Xenopus tropicalis: one gene and its partner. The main gene of each other region encodes a partner of the protein of the gene in region 2 in a complex. Links are inferred from orthologs where the notes say so. Each region holds a gene or a part of one and is shown on either strand. Other genes may lie near its edges.

Region 1 (6,103 bases), on a different chromosome or scaffold from region 2:
CTAGAATACCAGCACTCCTAGATGCATATATTACCCCAGCTACAATGCACAAAGGTCATGATTCCAATGCAAATAGTCAAAGTTCATATGGCTGTAAATTGCAGGTGTCTGTGTGCCACCCAATATGAATAACCAATTTAATGAAACAAATCAAACAGCTCCAAGCAGTAATAAGCAGACTGTAGTGCTTTTTATAAGCAGTGTAATCACAAACACATTATCCCAGGTACACAAAGAATGGGACCATAGGGACATATTAGACCCTTTTTGGCAATGATATGTGAAAAATATCCTTTTTTCCACACATTTACAGTAAACAGTATGAAACTTTTACCTGCAACTTGCTTTATTAAGGTAAAAACAAAAGCGTGCACTACTTCATCCAGGGTATTTATAGGTGAACCCTGTGGTGTCTGACAATTAGGAGAACTATTGGGACATTACAATAATAAATAAGGTAATTGATCTTGCACGCATTCACAGTATTTTGGTGCACATTGCTCAGTTTTTCTAATATCACGGGAGACCCTAAAATCCTCTGGAAGGATCTTATAGTTGATAAATCATCAGACAGTTTATTGTATTGCACAGAAGTCCAAAATAATGCTGCATTTCTTGATGGTGCTTTAGAGCTTTATAAAGGGGAATAATTTACCCTCTCCTCCAGCAGAGCTATACCCTTTATAATACAGTACCATGCCATGTTGGCCCTTTCTTCTGCAAACTGGCATGTGTTACAAGTTTATTATCCACAAGTACCTCCAGGTCCTTATTAAGGATATTTTTATAGTTATCTACAGAAAATCTCATCTGCCAGTTAGTTGCCCAGATTGTCAGTTTGTCCAGATTCCACTGCAAGGATGACACATCCTGTATGTATTTTACTGTCTTGGATAGTTTTTGTTTCATTGCCAAATGTATACCATCCCCCAAGCCATTACCAGCTAAATCAAATAAAAGTGGAGAAAAAACAGAACCCAGTTGCACACTGCTATTACCTACTTCAATGTGATTTATTTGCTTGTTCTCTCATGTATAGCATTACTAAGACCAAAAGACTTTAGTTGAGAAAGCAAACTTGTGTTGCACCATATGCAATGGAAAAATCTACTCGGCTTCCTACTTACTTCATCATAAAAAGCTAGTACATTTCCTTGACCTGAAGAGTCCTTCAGAAAGCAATGCTGATAATTACTTTTAATGCCATGATCCAGAATATAATTTTTAAAGTGATCTCTTAAAGGAAAAGGAAAGGCTAATAAAGAGTTAATCTCAAGCTGCAGGCATACCTTCAGTTGTCTCAGGTCTCCCCATATTTCTCCCGTTCAGATGATCAGAAGCCAAACAGGAAGAAAAAACTGAAGCTGAGCTGTGTAAAGAAAGTTCCCATAATGCCTCACTCCTGCACAGACACCCAGACCAAGTGAACATGCTCAGTTAGTTAGCCTGCTGATTGGCTCAGATCCACATTCCTAAGGAGGGGGAGTGAGTTCTTAGCATTCTTGAGGGAGGGGGGTGCAGGAGAGAGCAGGAGAGAGCAGTGTGTCACTGGCACAGGAATTACAGACACAAGAAATCTTTTTACAGAGAAGTCAGTGCAGCTTTTCTGAAAGTGCTTATGGCTGTATTTACATAGACCTTTCTGATAAAGCTTACTTAGTTTTTACCTTTCGGTCACTATAGGATTTACAGGTCTATAATTGCCAGGTTGACACTAAATTTCTCTCCAGAAAACTCTAAGTCCTCAGCATTCTGGATAACAGGTCCAATACCTTTACTGCAATAGAACAAAATCTGAAGTAGTTTGGTTCAATAGTCTAATCTTCCCTTTTTTATAATTTTTTTTTAAAATTTTTTCTTGAGTGGAAAAGCTCGGAAAAAATATGTATTTGGATGAATTGACTAATTTTAAAAGGTTTTTTGGCCACTGTGGTAAAATGATTTTTGCTCAAAGTTGCAGAACAGTTTCTGGAGGAAAAAACAATGGGGAAGTAGGAAAATTATTTGATAAATTATCCTGATTGTTAACAAAAGTACGTATACCAACAAAAAAAAGAAAAAAAAAAGCCTGGCACTTATTTTCTAAATTATATAAATATCACTGTGCTTTTTGCCTAATTATTATTGTTAATAAACCTTACAATGTGCAAGGCATATATATGGATACGATTACAACTGAATATGATGATACAAAATACTTTTGTTTCTTTGTTTTATTTTTTTTTTCTATGAAATTCATGGTGCTTACTCGAGTCTGATCTTCTCTCTGGCAAACCAGCCACACATTTTAGATACAGACTGAGAATGAGACCATCAGTCTGACAAAGCTTTATGGCAAGATTCAGATAAAAGGATAATTTTGTAGGTATGATATAAATAATCATTTAAATGAATTTAAAATCTATCCCTCCACCATTTAACATCTGCAGAATGTAAATTGTTGCCCTTACTATTTACATTCTATTAAACTCTGAACTTTGAACTTTACATTTTTGTTATTTACTAACTCTTTGCACAGACATGCTGTCCACTAGCCCCAGGTATCAAAATGGCACATGCAGTGCAGACATTCTGCTTATTCTCCCTAATGCTTTTTATTCACCAAGCAGAGGCAAAAGGTATGAGAAACTTTTATTAACTATTAAGACTTTGTATTTTGTTTAGATTAGTAATGTGGGTTTAAATACTGGTAGAATTTAATGAATACAGATAAAAGACAGGGGCAGTTCAAAATAGATCTTTATGAGTAGGTTTAAGAGTATTTTGATGTGATTGTGATTGTCTAAATGAAAGGTGAATTTTTGGATGTAAAATAACAGCTATAATTTAATATGGATTAAATAGACCTGGATAGATCCAGACCTGGATACTCTGTAGCTCTCTATAAGTTGTTATCTATATATTGTAATATAATTACCACAAAACAAGGTTTACTATGCTACCAGGTAGAAGATTTAACTAAAACTACCTTAGACCTGAATAGACCCAGACCTGGATACTCTGTAGCTCTCTATAAGTTGTTATCTATATATTGTAATATAATTACCACAAAACAAGGTTTACTATGCTACCAGGTAGAAGATTTAACTAAAACTACCTTTTTTATATGTGCCTGAAAACTCTGTGTAATATTTACTAAGAATGGTCTCTTTGGTCTCCTTTATTTCTTCTACAAATTAGCAGTTGTGTTATACTTTATGCAGACAATAATGTTCTGAGATCATAACCGATTTAATTGGCAGAGTGACTAAAATACAAAAGCAAGCATAGTAAATGAATATATTAAGTAACAAAATGCTGGCCAGAACTAAAAACACACAAAAAATATAAATGTATTATTCACAATTACCCTAAGTGGAAGATTCATTCAAATAGAAAAATTGTTTTCTTGCATGTATCATTTTTCACTCAAATTATTTTGATGCCAAAATCTGAAATTTGCTTAAATTTTCCTACAGACTAACTGTAAAATAGCATGGGAATTCTCATGAATTGTTGAGACTTGTCAAGTATGTGGAGTGAAGGAAGGATCTCATCTGAAACACATGCTGATGTAGCCATTGGGTTAAGTGGATGTAGGCTTCAGGTAGCACATTTATATGCTGTTGAGAATTATTAAAGGAAAAACATTGATAAATACAAATCTCGATCTGACCCCAAGTTTATAATCTACAGTTTCTGTGTGCAGTGTCTTACTTCCTAGCTTTGCTTTATCTCCCTAGCATATAAATGGTGCCTATAAGGATATGATTTACAGTTTGATCCCATAGGGAAATGACCAAACTGTACATTATATAATAATAAACAAACTTTTCAAACATAACATAGCAAGAGTGCAAAGGGAGCAACACAACACACAGTGCTTAGATACAATTTTTTTTTTAATATTGGCCTCACAAAGCGTTTCTGGCCATATGGACCCATATTCAAGTCTTTTTCAACAACAACATAACTTTTGATGATTGTGATCAGGCTGAGGTTCATGATCTAGAACAGAAGCATGTATACATTATGTTTTTGCAACCTTGTTAACCTCCATCTATATAGTCTTCCTGTCTTCTGAAAATGCAAATAAAGTCATTCAGAGGTCCAAGAGAGACAACTTTATCTTCATCGAGGAATTACTGAAGGGAAATCTAGAAAGGGAATGCCTTGAAGAAAGGTGCTCATATGAGGAGGCGAGAGAGACATTTGAAAACACAGAAAAAACTGTAAGTATATAAGCTTAATAGTTTGTGTTTGTGCTGAGGTTGCTTACTGTCTTGCTATGAGGCCCTTCCAAATTTGACACATTCAGCATTTGTTTTTATTGTGGGTAGAAAACATAGAATGAATGGTCCTTTTAGGCAGCTCCAATTTGGGATGATGATTTAGCACCTTGCTTGAACATTCAACCAAACGCTTTTGATACCTACTTAGGACAACAAAGAGATGCTTTGATGCAGTCCCCAGCTTTGGTGATTATAGCTAAAGCTATTAAGTAAAGATAGAAGCAGTTTAACAAATTGTCCAAACAAAACAGTGTATGCTTTGCTCTATACTAGCTTGTAACAGTACATGCTATTCCCTAAACCAGTGCTGTCCAACTGGCGGCCCCCCACCTGTCTGGCCGCTTTGATGGCTTACCTTTATGTAGCCTTTAAGTGGTATCAGTACTGAGATTAACTGGCCCCCTGCATGGTTCACACCTCAGATTCAGGCTGTAATCCCCCTGTATTGTTTAAACATGTAATCCCCTGTGTTCTTCACACCTTTTAATCCCTACACTGTTCACCTTCTGCATTGTTCCCACCTCAGGCTCAGACTGTAAGCACCCATATTGTTCACCTGTTCACACCTCAGACTGTAGGAGCAGTAAAAACCCACAAATAGACCATGCACAGTACAAAAAGAACATATACTGAGGTGGTACTGCAATTAAAAAGTTTATTAATATATAGTTATTGTGCAGACTGTAGGAGCAGTGCCAGCATTGTGACACTGTATGCTGCCTGTGTGTGCCATACTCTGCCTACCCTATGCTGCCTGTGTGTGCCAGAAAGGGGAGTGGTTAAAACTGGCTTCCATTATCAGCCCTCCACCATGTAGGCCCCAAGAAATCCGGCCCTCGGTACCACAGACGTTGGACAGCACTACCCTAAACTATTTTACTGACTGAGCAACACTACATTAAACTGACCTGTATTCTTTTGTTAATATAGTTTGCTTGTTCATTTGTTTTTATTCAATAAATACTGAAAACCGGGCTTGCATTTGGGAAAACAGTGCAGTGACTGACCATCAAAATTCGAAAAGCAGTTTATAAAGTACAGTGTTCACTTCATCTACTGACAGCTTCAATGCTGACTATAATATCTTAGGTTTCAGTAATTTAAGGGGAAAAATGTATATACTTTGTGTATTTCATGTTTTTTATGGAAGGATATAGGACACTGCAAAGGCTGGCAATTACTGAAAACAGCTAATTTTTGTGTCCTGACAATTTGCATATGCAGCAAGGGTTAATCTATAGAAAATAAGAAAAAGAAAAAAAAAAAGAATGTATGGGTTTTATGGAAGAAGGACACAGAAGGTCTGTAAGTTTGTATACCTGTAATAAAATCTACCTATTGAATAATTCTTAATGCTATTATTTTTTATAGAAGCAATTTTGGAGCCAGTATCATGGTAAGTGTAACACTTATATATCTGCCACTCCTTGTAATAAGATTAGTGTTACAGACATACCCCCCGGGAAACAGATGAGCAAAACTCTGAAAATCAAATAAAAAATTACCAAGAAGTCTGAAAAGTCTGTTCTTCTGTTTTTAATCTCCATGCATCTCAGTATCTAAAAATTTCCTTGTACGCATGGAACATCCTATGCACAGCAAAGCACTGGGTATTCAGAACAAATACAATAGGGCACTTTTACATCTGCAGATGCAGTGGGCAATTTGTGGTTTTCCCCACAGTGTGTTGCATTTAAAAACAACTTCATTAAAGGTACATATGTCCCAATGCTATCTGTGTACTTGCTTATAATTGTGCTTAGCAGCATTGCGAACCCTGGAGCTACCATCATCTCCTGACCAAGTGGTAGCTTCAGAGTTCCCTCAGCACC
Region 2 (6,215 bases):
TTCAGCAATTCTGGCAGCAAATAGGGATTTTCCTGGTCTTTAAATGGGTTATAGTTCAACCCATGTAATAGCTGGTCATATGTATTTCCTCTTGTTCCAAGCAATAAAGAAGAAAGTCCCAATGACACGCTAAATGGCGAGAAAAAGATGTTATTGTCATGTTTATTTGCAATTTTTCTGTAGAGATTGAACCCAAAATCACTGCTCATTTGAGACACATTAGCAAAAGAAAGCACTGTAGGGATCTGCTCCTCATTTCCAGATGGGAGACTAGAGTTCATCAGTGTTGCAGCAGAGGTCTGCTTGCTGCATTCTGAATGATCCACTTTCTGTTTCCTCGATGGTTTTTGTTGTTTAGTAGCATGATCAGCAATGCACAGTCCAATCAGAAGGAGAAGAAGTAGCCACAGTGTGCGTTTCATAGTGGTTCTTCTGCTAAGAATGGAAATACAGTTACAGTACATTATGAATTATAATTAAAATGACTTCAGTGAAATATTTCAGAATTAAACATATTCATTTCCATTACTAATTAAAAAAAATTGTGTCTCAGGCTAGATAAAAATTCACTTTCCATTAGCCAGATGCAAATATTAGCCTTCACATGTTGTTAACATACATTACAGAATGAGACCTTAGTAAAATCATTTGTATTGTAAATGTTAATCTGATGCTCACAAGAGATGTTATCTGTGTGGTCAGTTAGTATATGTATCAAGTGCACCTTGTATATGGATCACAACACTAGTGCTATTTATACTTCAAGATTTATTTACTACTTTGTGTTATTAGCTACTCACTTTGATATAGGAGAGAATAGAACTAAACAGTTTTGATAACACTACCACGACTAATACTTGCTTATTATTAGTTGAATCATTCATATAACAACGTTATTCTACTGATCTTTTGTGTGCACTTTTGTATACAATTCGCCATAAAATAGTATAATTTCAAATCTGCACTGACAGAGTGATGCCGTGTCTGTCATTTCATACTAAAGATGGAGTAGAAGGCAACAGATTGCTTCACTATCAGACTAAAGTGTAATGTTAATATATAGGCAGAGAAAATGTCATGTGTATTCCTTAGGCCTGATAATAAAGTGATAAGAATACTGAGAGGGCTTGATTTTTGTTTTAGAAATGCAGTTTCTAAAGGGATTTCTTTGCTATTAGTTTTCACTACATGTACCACTTAGGTTATAAAACCAAACCATAACTGTTTTATATTTACGGGTTGAGTTTAATAATAGATATTCATATAAAGGCTATGGGGAACGTAATATTTGTTCATAAAGGAAAAAAGGGTCACAACGGAACTAAAATATTGCTTTGACACAAATTGTGTACAGTCTGCGAACCCTTTGCATTTCTTGCTACAATAGGTTTGCAACTGTTAATTTTTTAGTTTGCGCAAGTGTGCTGTGCATGTAATAAAACTTCTTAAAGGGGACCTGTCACCCTAGAAAATAATTCCAAGTTGTTTTGTTTGGTGTTTGTCAAGTAAAATAAACTTCACGTACACTATATGAATGATTAAATCACAGGAAGCAGGCAGGTGCCATTTTGTGGACACTGTTAGTAAGGCAAGCTTTGTATCACCCCAAAAGCTTGTATATGTGCCAGAATGTGGGGATCAGATACCCATGCCCATGCACTGGTTACACAATTACATGGTGTAGTAACTGCTCAGTGGAAAGTGGAAGTAATTCTATGCCTCGCCTCTATACCTAAGGCATAAGTGAGGAGTAGTCAATATATGATTGACAGCTGGAATTTTTAAATTTATAATTTGTGTTTTAATAAAAAAAGGAATTTGGGTTTCATGTTTAATTTGAAAATGACTTTTAAAATACAGCTTTTTATGTTTGGGTGACAGGTCCCCTTTAATGAAATGAAAAATATTACATCGTAACATGAAATTTTTTTTATTCTTATTTCAGCGCCATTGTTTCTGTTTGTGAATTTGATTACATTTCATGTTACAGTGTGGAGTAGCTATTGCACTCCCCTACACAGAAAAAGCTGAGCTTCATGAAAAAAACCCAAAACATTAGTAGTACTTCAGCTCGTAAGGACAATGGTCACAATATATATTCGCCTCTTCAAAGTTTAACATGAGAATTGCTATGACCATGCCAGTGTACCCTCGAGTCAGGCTATTAATACTAAGAAATTTGTTAAAACAGTATTTTGATTTTTGCAGACAAGCAAATGCGAAAGGCCACAAAGATATCTAAATAAACAGCATATTTATGTTCCTAAGCAGAGGAGAGGGGAGGAAAGCAAAGGGGTGTTAGCATGGGAATGTCAAGGCAGAAGAAAGAGAAAGGAAAAAGAAAAAGACTGGCAGTTTGGTCCATCACCTCTGCACATCTGCACGTTGCTTAGACATTTTCCAGTGTTAGTGAGGCAATTTCATTTAAGTTAAATTAGGGTGGAGCTTTAGTTTTCAATTAGACTGCAATTATGAACATCACTTAGGAATAGTGGAGAAATTATAAATTGATATACTGTGTGTAGGCTGTATTTGTATTATCCTTAATACACCATTCATAGTAAAACCAGCACATTTACTTCTTCATTGTCACTTTAAAGAGCATTAGTCACTTTCAGGGAAATCTAGTGTAAATGCCATTCATTTCATTTCTATCTCCAATCTGCTGGCTAGTTTTACCGGCTTCAACACCCTGAAAGTGGCTTCATTGTCATTTTATTCAGTGATTATCATGTTACTCAAACAATTTATTGTAGAATTCTTTTAAAAAGTTAATAAAAGAGATACTTAAAGCTTCAAAATGCTTTTGTTAGTTTTAAAACATCTTCTAATAGATTGTTCTCATTCCTCTTATTATTATGTTTATTGTTCTTATCAGTGAATGGAAGGTGTGAGTAACACTGGCTGTGCCTTTTTATAATGCAGATTCACTTAAACATCTATATTAGGATTTCATTTAAATCTTACAAAGTGACATTATTTTTATATATATTTTTATATTATTTGCATAGTATGGAATTTCCTGTTATGTAAAATAATAAAATATCATTTCTGAACAATGCATTGGTCAGTAACGTCAAGCAAGCAGTCTTCCATTTATAATGTGACCCTGGGGGTATCATTTAAATGGAGTCTGTAAAAGATATTTCATTTTACTGTTATAAATGTTTACTCTCTGTAATGGTTTCTATTTCAAAATATATTTTGAATTACTTTTAGAATCAGAAACAATGCCGCACTGACAATGCTTGCTTGGACCTACACCAAGTATCTATAGTTATCGATAGTTACTACTAAATATTGTGAGTTCTTACCAGTGTTGCCTTGTTTCAGTCGCAGAAATACTAATGCAGCCAAAGGTTAATGTCCAACATCAGTGGTCTTTGACAAATATTTAGCAATACAAAGTATAAAGAATGAGCAAAGTCATTTCCTTTATTTATTAACAGCTGTGCACACAGATATGTCACCAAAACATTTCCCAAGAGAAAAAAAACGCCAATGCATGTATATCTATTACTAGCATTTCTCTTTTATCAGGACTCTCTCACATTTCCTATTCTGTACTGCAGTGGTGCAAAATAAGCACAGAAACTGTTGAGAGAATTCTGTCCTATTATACATAATTAAGGCTTTTATCCTTTGCGCTATTCGAGCCATGAATTACGTTTGGTATCTTGTTTATTGACACAAGTACCAAAACCACTGCATTTGAATTACTTTATCTGCTATGGAAAATGGGTCCTACGCCCCTAGAGGACCCTGCAGAGCAGTCTTTATTGCTATAACAGGTATGGGACCTGTTATTCAGAATGCTCAGGTAGGGGGTCCTTCCGTAATTTGGGTCTCCATACATTTACTAACACCCCATTTTTTGGCTTGGGGTTTTTGTCACCAAAATATGAGTTTGTCTTATAAAAAATTTGATTTTTTTACGATTTATTATGCAACAAAACAACAACAAATCTGAATGCAAAAATAAATCATCTAAAACCTGTTGTGATCATGTAGAAGTCAGTGGCAGATGTCCCTTTTAGAAATGGAAGATCTTTCTTTGCTTTGTTGTTTTAGAGTTTCTTTTATGCTGGCTTATGTAAAAAATACAAAAAAAAATTGGAGTTTTTGCGATTTTTCTGCATCTTTTTTTGTTTGTAGTTTTTCAGTTTGGATCTTTTGATAAATTACATTTCAATTCATGGAAATTAATTTATTTGTGGTTAAAATCCAAATGTTAATAAATGCCCCCCTAAGACTACTGAAAATTAATTAATTGAACCCAAGTTATTAGAGATTTCATGTAGAGAAATACATTGTACAGTACAATAGTTGGAAGAGGCAAGTTATTGTATCACAGCAGGTTGCCAGATAGGCTCTATGTTCTACATCTACAGTTAAAATGGGACAATTTGCAACTCAAAAATATATTTATATATTTATATATATATATTAAATCAGTCTTTCTAATATATAATACATGTGTAGCAGAATTTCTTATCCTGTTCCAACTTACAACAGAATATCTCATAAGCTTCATATTATGTTCAAACGAGCAGTTCAATATAACCCTGAACTCCATTAATTGCCAATTTGATTTTAAAAAAAACAATAAAAGTGGTAAATGTATGTTTTCACCTATAGCTATTGCTGCCTGGGCTGTGACAGTTAGGAAGTGGAAGTCAGAAGATTTGCCCACTATTTAAAGGTTATTGACAATAAAACCAACACAATGGTCCTACAGACTGATTCTCCCCATTTTGAAGGTCATCACACATTTTTAAAGGCATAATATCACCATTTAAGTGTCAGGTTTGGGGTACTACAAGTACATGGCTATCTCACCAAAATACAAACATATAAAGACACTGCTAGGGCACACTAAGGGGCTGATTTACTAACCCACGAATCCGACCCGAATTGGAAAAGTTCCGACTTGAAAACGAACATTTTGCGACTTTTTCGTATGTTTTGCGATTTTTTCGGATTCTGTACGAATTTTTCGTTACCAATACGATTTTTGCGTAAAAACGCGAGTTTTTCGTATCCATTACGAAAGTTGCGTAAAAAGTTGCGCATTTTTCGTAGCGTTAAAACTTACGCGAAAAATGCGCAACTTTTCGCGTAAGTTTTAACGCTACGAAAAATGCGCAACTTTTTACGCAACTTTCGTAATGGATAGGAAAACTCGCGTTTTTACGCAAAAATCGTATTGGTAACGAAAAATTCGTAAAGAATCCGAAAAAATCGCAAAACATACGAAAAAATCGCAAAATACCGATCATTACGAAAAAAACGCAATCGGACTCCATTCGACCCGTTCGTGGGTAAGTAAATCAGCCCCTTAGGGGCTGATTTACTAACCCACGAATTCGAATCCGAATTGGAAAAATTCCGATTGGAAAACGAACATTTTGCGACTTTTTTGTATTTTTTGCGATTTTTTCGGAGCCTTTATGACTTTTCGGAAATTATCGCGACTTTTTCGTTACCAATACGATTTGCACGAAAAAACGCGAGTTTTTCGTAGCCATTCCGAAAGTTGCGCAAAAACTGGCGATTTTTTCGTAGCGTTAAAACTTAAAAGGCGCGATGTTTCGCGCAAGTTTTAACGCTACGAAAAAATCGCAACTTTTCGCGCAAGTTTTAACGCTACGAAAAAATCGCCAGATTTTGCGCAACTTTCGGAATGGCTACGAAAAACTTGCGTTTTTTCGCACAAATCGTATTGGTAACGAAAAAGTCACGATAATTTTCCGAAAAAATCGCAAAATACCGATCATTACGAAAAAACCGCAATCGGACGCATTCGGCCCGTTCGTGGGTTAGTAAATGTGCCCCTTAGTGTGCCCTAGCAGTGTCTTTATCTTATTTGGGTCATATATGGTGATACAGGTGGTAACGGCCTCAATGTGTTAGTGAATGCAGCATGTGTGGGTTACCTAATAACAAGAACAGTGCTGTATATCGACCGATATCGCAGGTGATATTGGTCGACTCGCCGATCGGGCCGGTTTAAAGATTTTGATCGGGCACCATAGAAGGCGCCTGAGCAAAATCTGTCTTCGGGGCTGAATCGGCAGAAGGAGGTACAAATCTATTGTTTCTACCTCCTTATCTGCCGTTTTAGCCCTGAACGGTTAGTGGCTCATTGTACGACCTTTTGTGCGACCGATGGTTGCACGAAAGATCTAAAATCGCCACGTGTGTGGCCACGTTTA

What was found. The genes of interacting proteins can lie anywhere in the genome.
Region 1: the proteins of serpina10 (region 2) and proz are in contact, whole or in part, in a crystal structure (PDB 3H5C), measured with the Homo sapiens proteins. The link is inferred for Xenopus tropicalis from reciprocal best matches to the Homo sapiens genes SERPINA10 and PROZ. Residues at the interface, in NP_001094077.1 of Homo sapiens: Arg88, Lys89, Ser91, Met92, His94, Asp95, His257, Asp259, Lys260, Tyr261, Asn282, Phe283, Lys305, Met306, Asp308, His309, Leu310, Ala311, Leu312, Asp314, Tyr315, Leu316; in NP_003882.1 of Homo sapiens: Cys129, Pro131, Cys141, Leu142, Pro143, Ser151, His250, Met251, Arg252, Asp254, Ala257, Glu259, Asn260, Glu284, Lys285, Asp286, Phe287, His290, Leu291, Thr336, Thr337, Arg338, Arg390, Ser392, Leu393, Trp394, Gln397.

Annotation. Positions count from the first base shown.
Region 1 is NC_030678.2:116,056,395-116,062,497, reverse strand, and holds the start of proz (vitamin K-dependent protein Z precursor), read left to right. Parts: upstream 1-2,335; 5' UTR 2,336-2,365; intron 2,366-2,518; 5' UTR 2,519-2,548; coding exon 2,549-2,618; intron 2,619-4,047; coding exon 4,048-4,211; intron 4,212-5,642; coding exon 5,643-5,667; intron 5,668-6,103. UniProt on the Homo sapiens protein: Appears to assist hemostasis by binding thrombin and promoting its association with phospholipid vesicles. Inhibits activity of the coagulation protease factor Xa in the presence of SERPINA10, calcium and phospholipids.
Region 2 is NC_030684.2:88,265,918-88,272,132, forward strand, and holds the start of serpina10 (protein Z-dependent protease inhibitor), read right to left. Parts: upstream 3,403-6,215; 5' UTR 3,315-3,402; intron 436-3,314; exon of another isoform or gene 433-435; 5' UTR 423-432; coding exon 1-422. UniProt on the Homo sapiens protein: Inhibits activity of the coagulation protease factor Xa in the presence of PROZ, calcium and phospholipids. Also inhibits factor XIa in the absence of cofactors.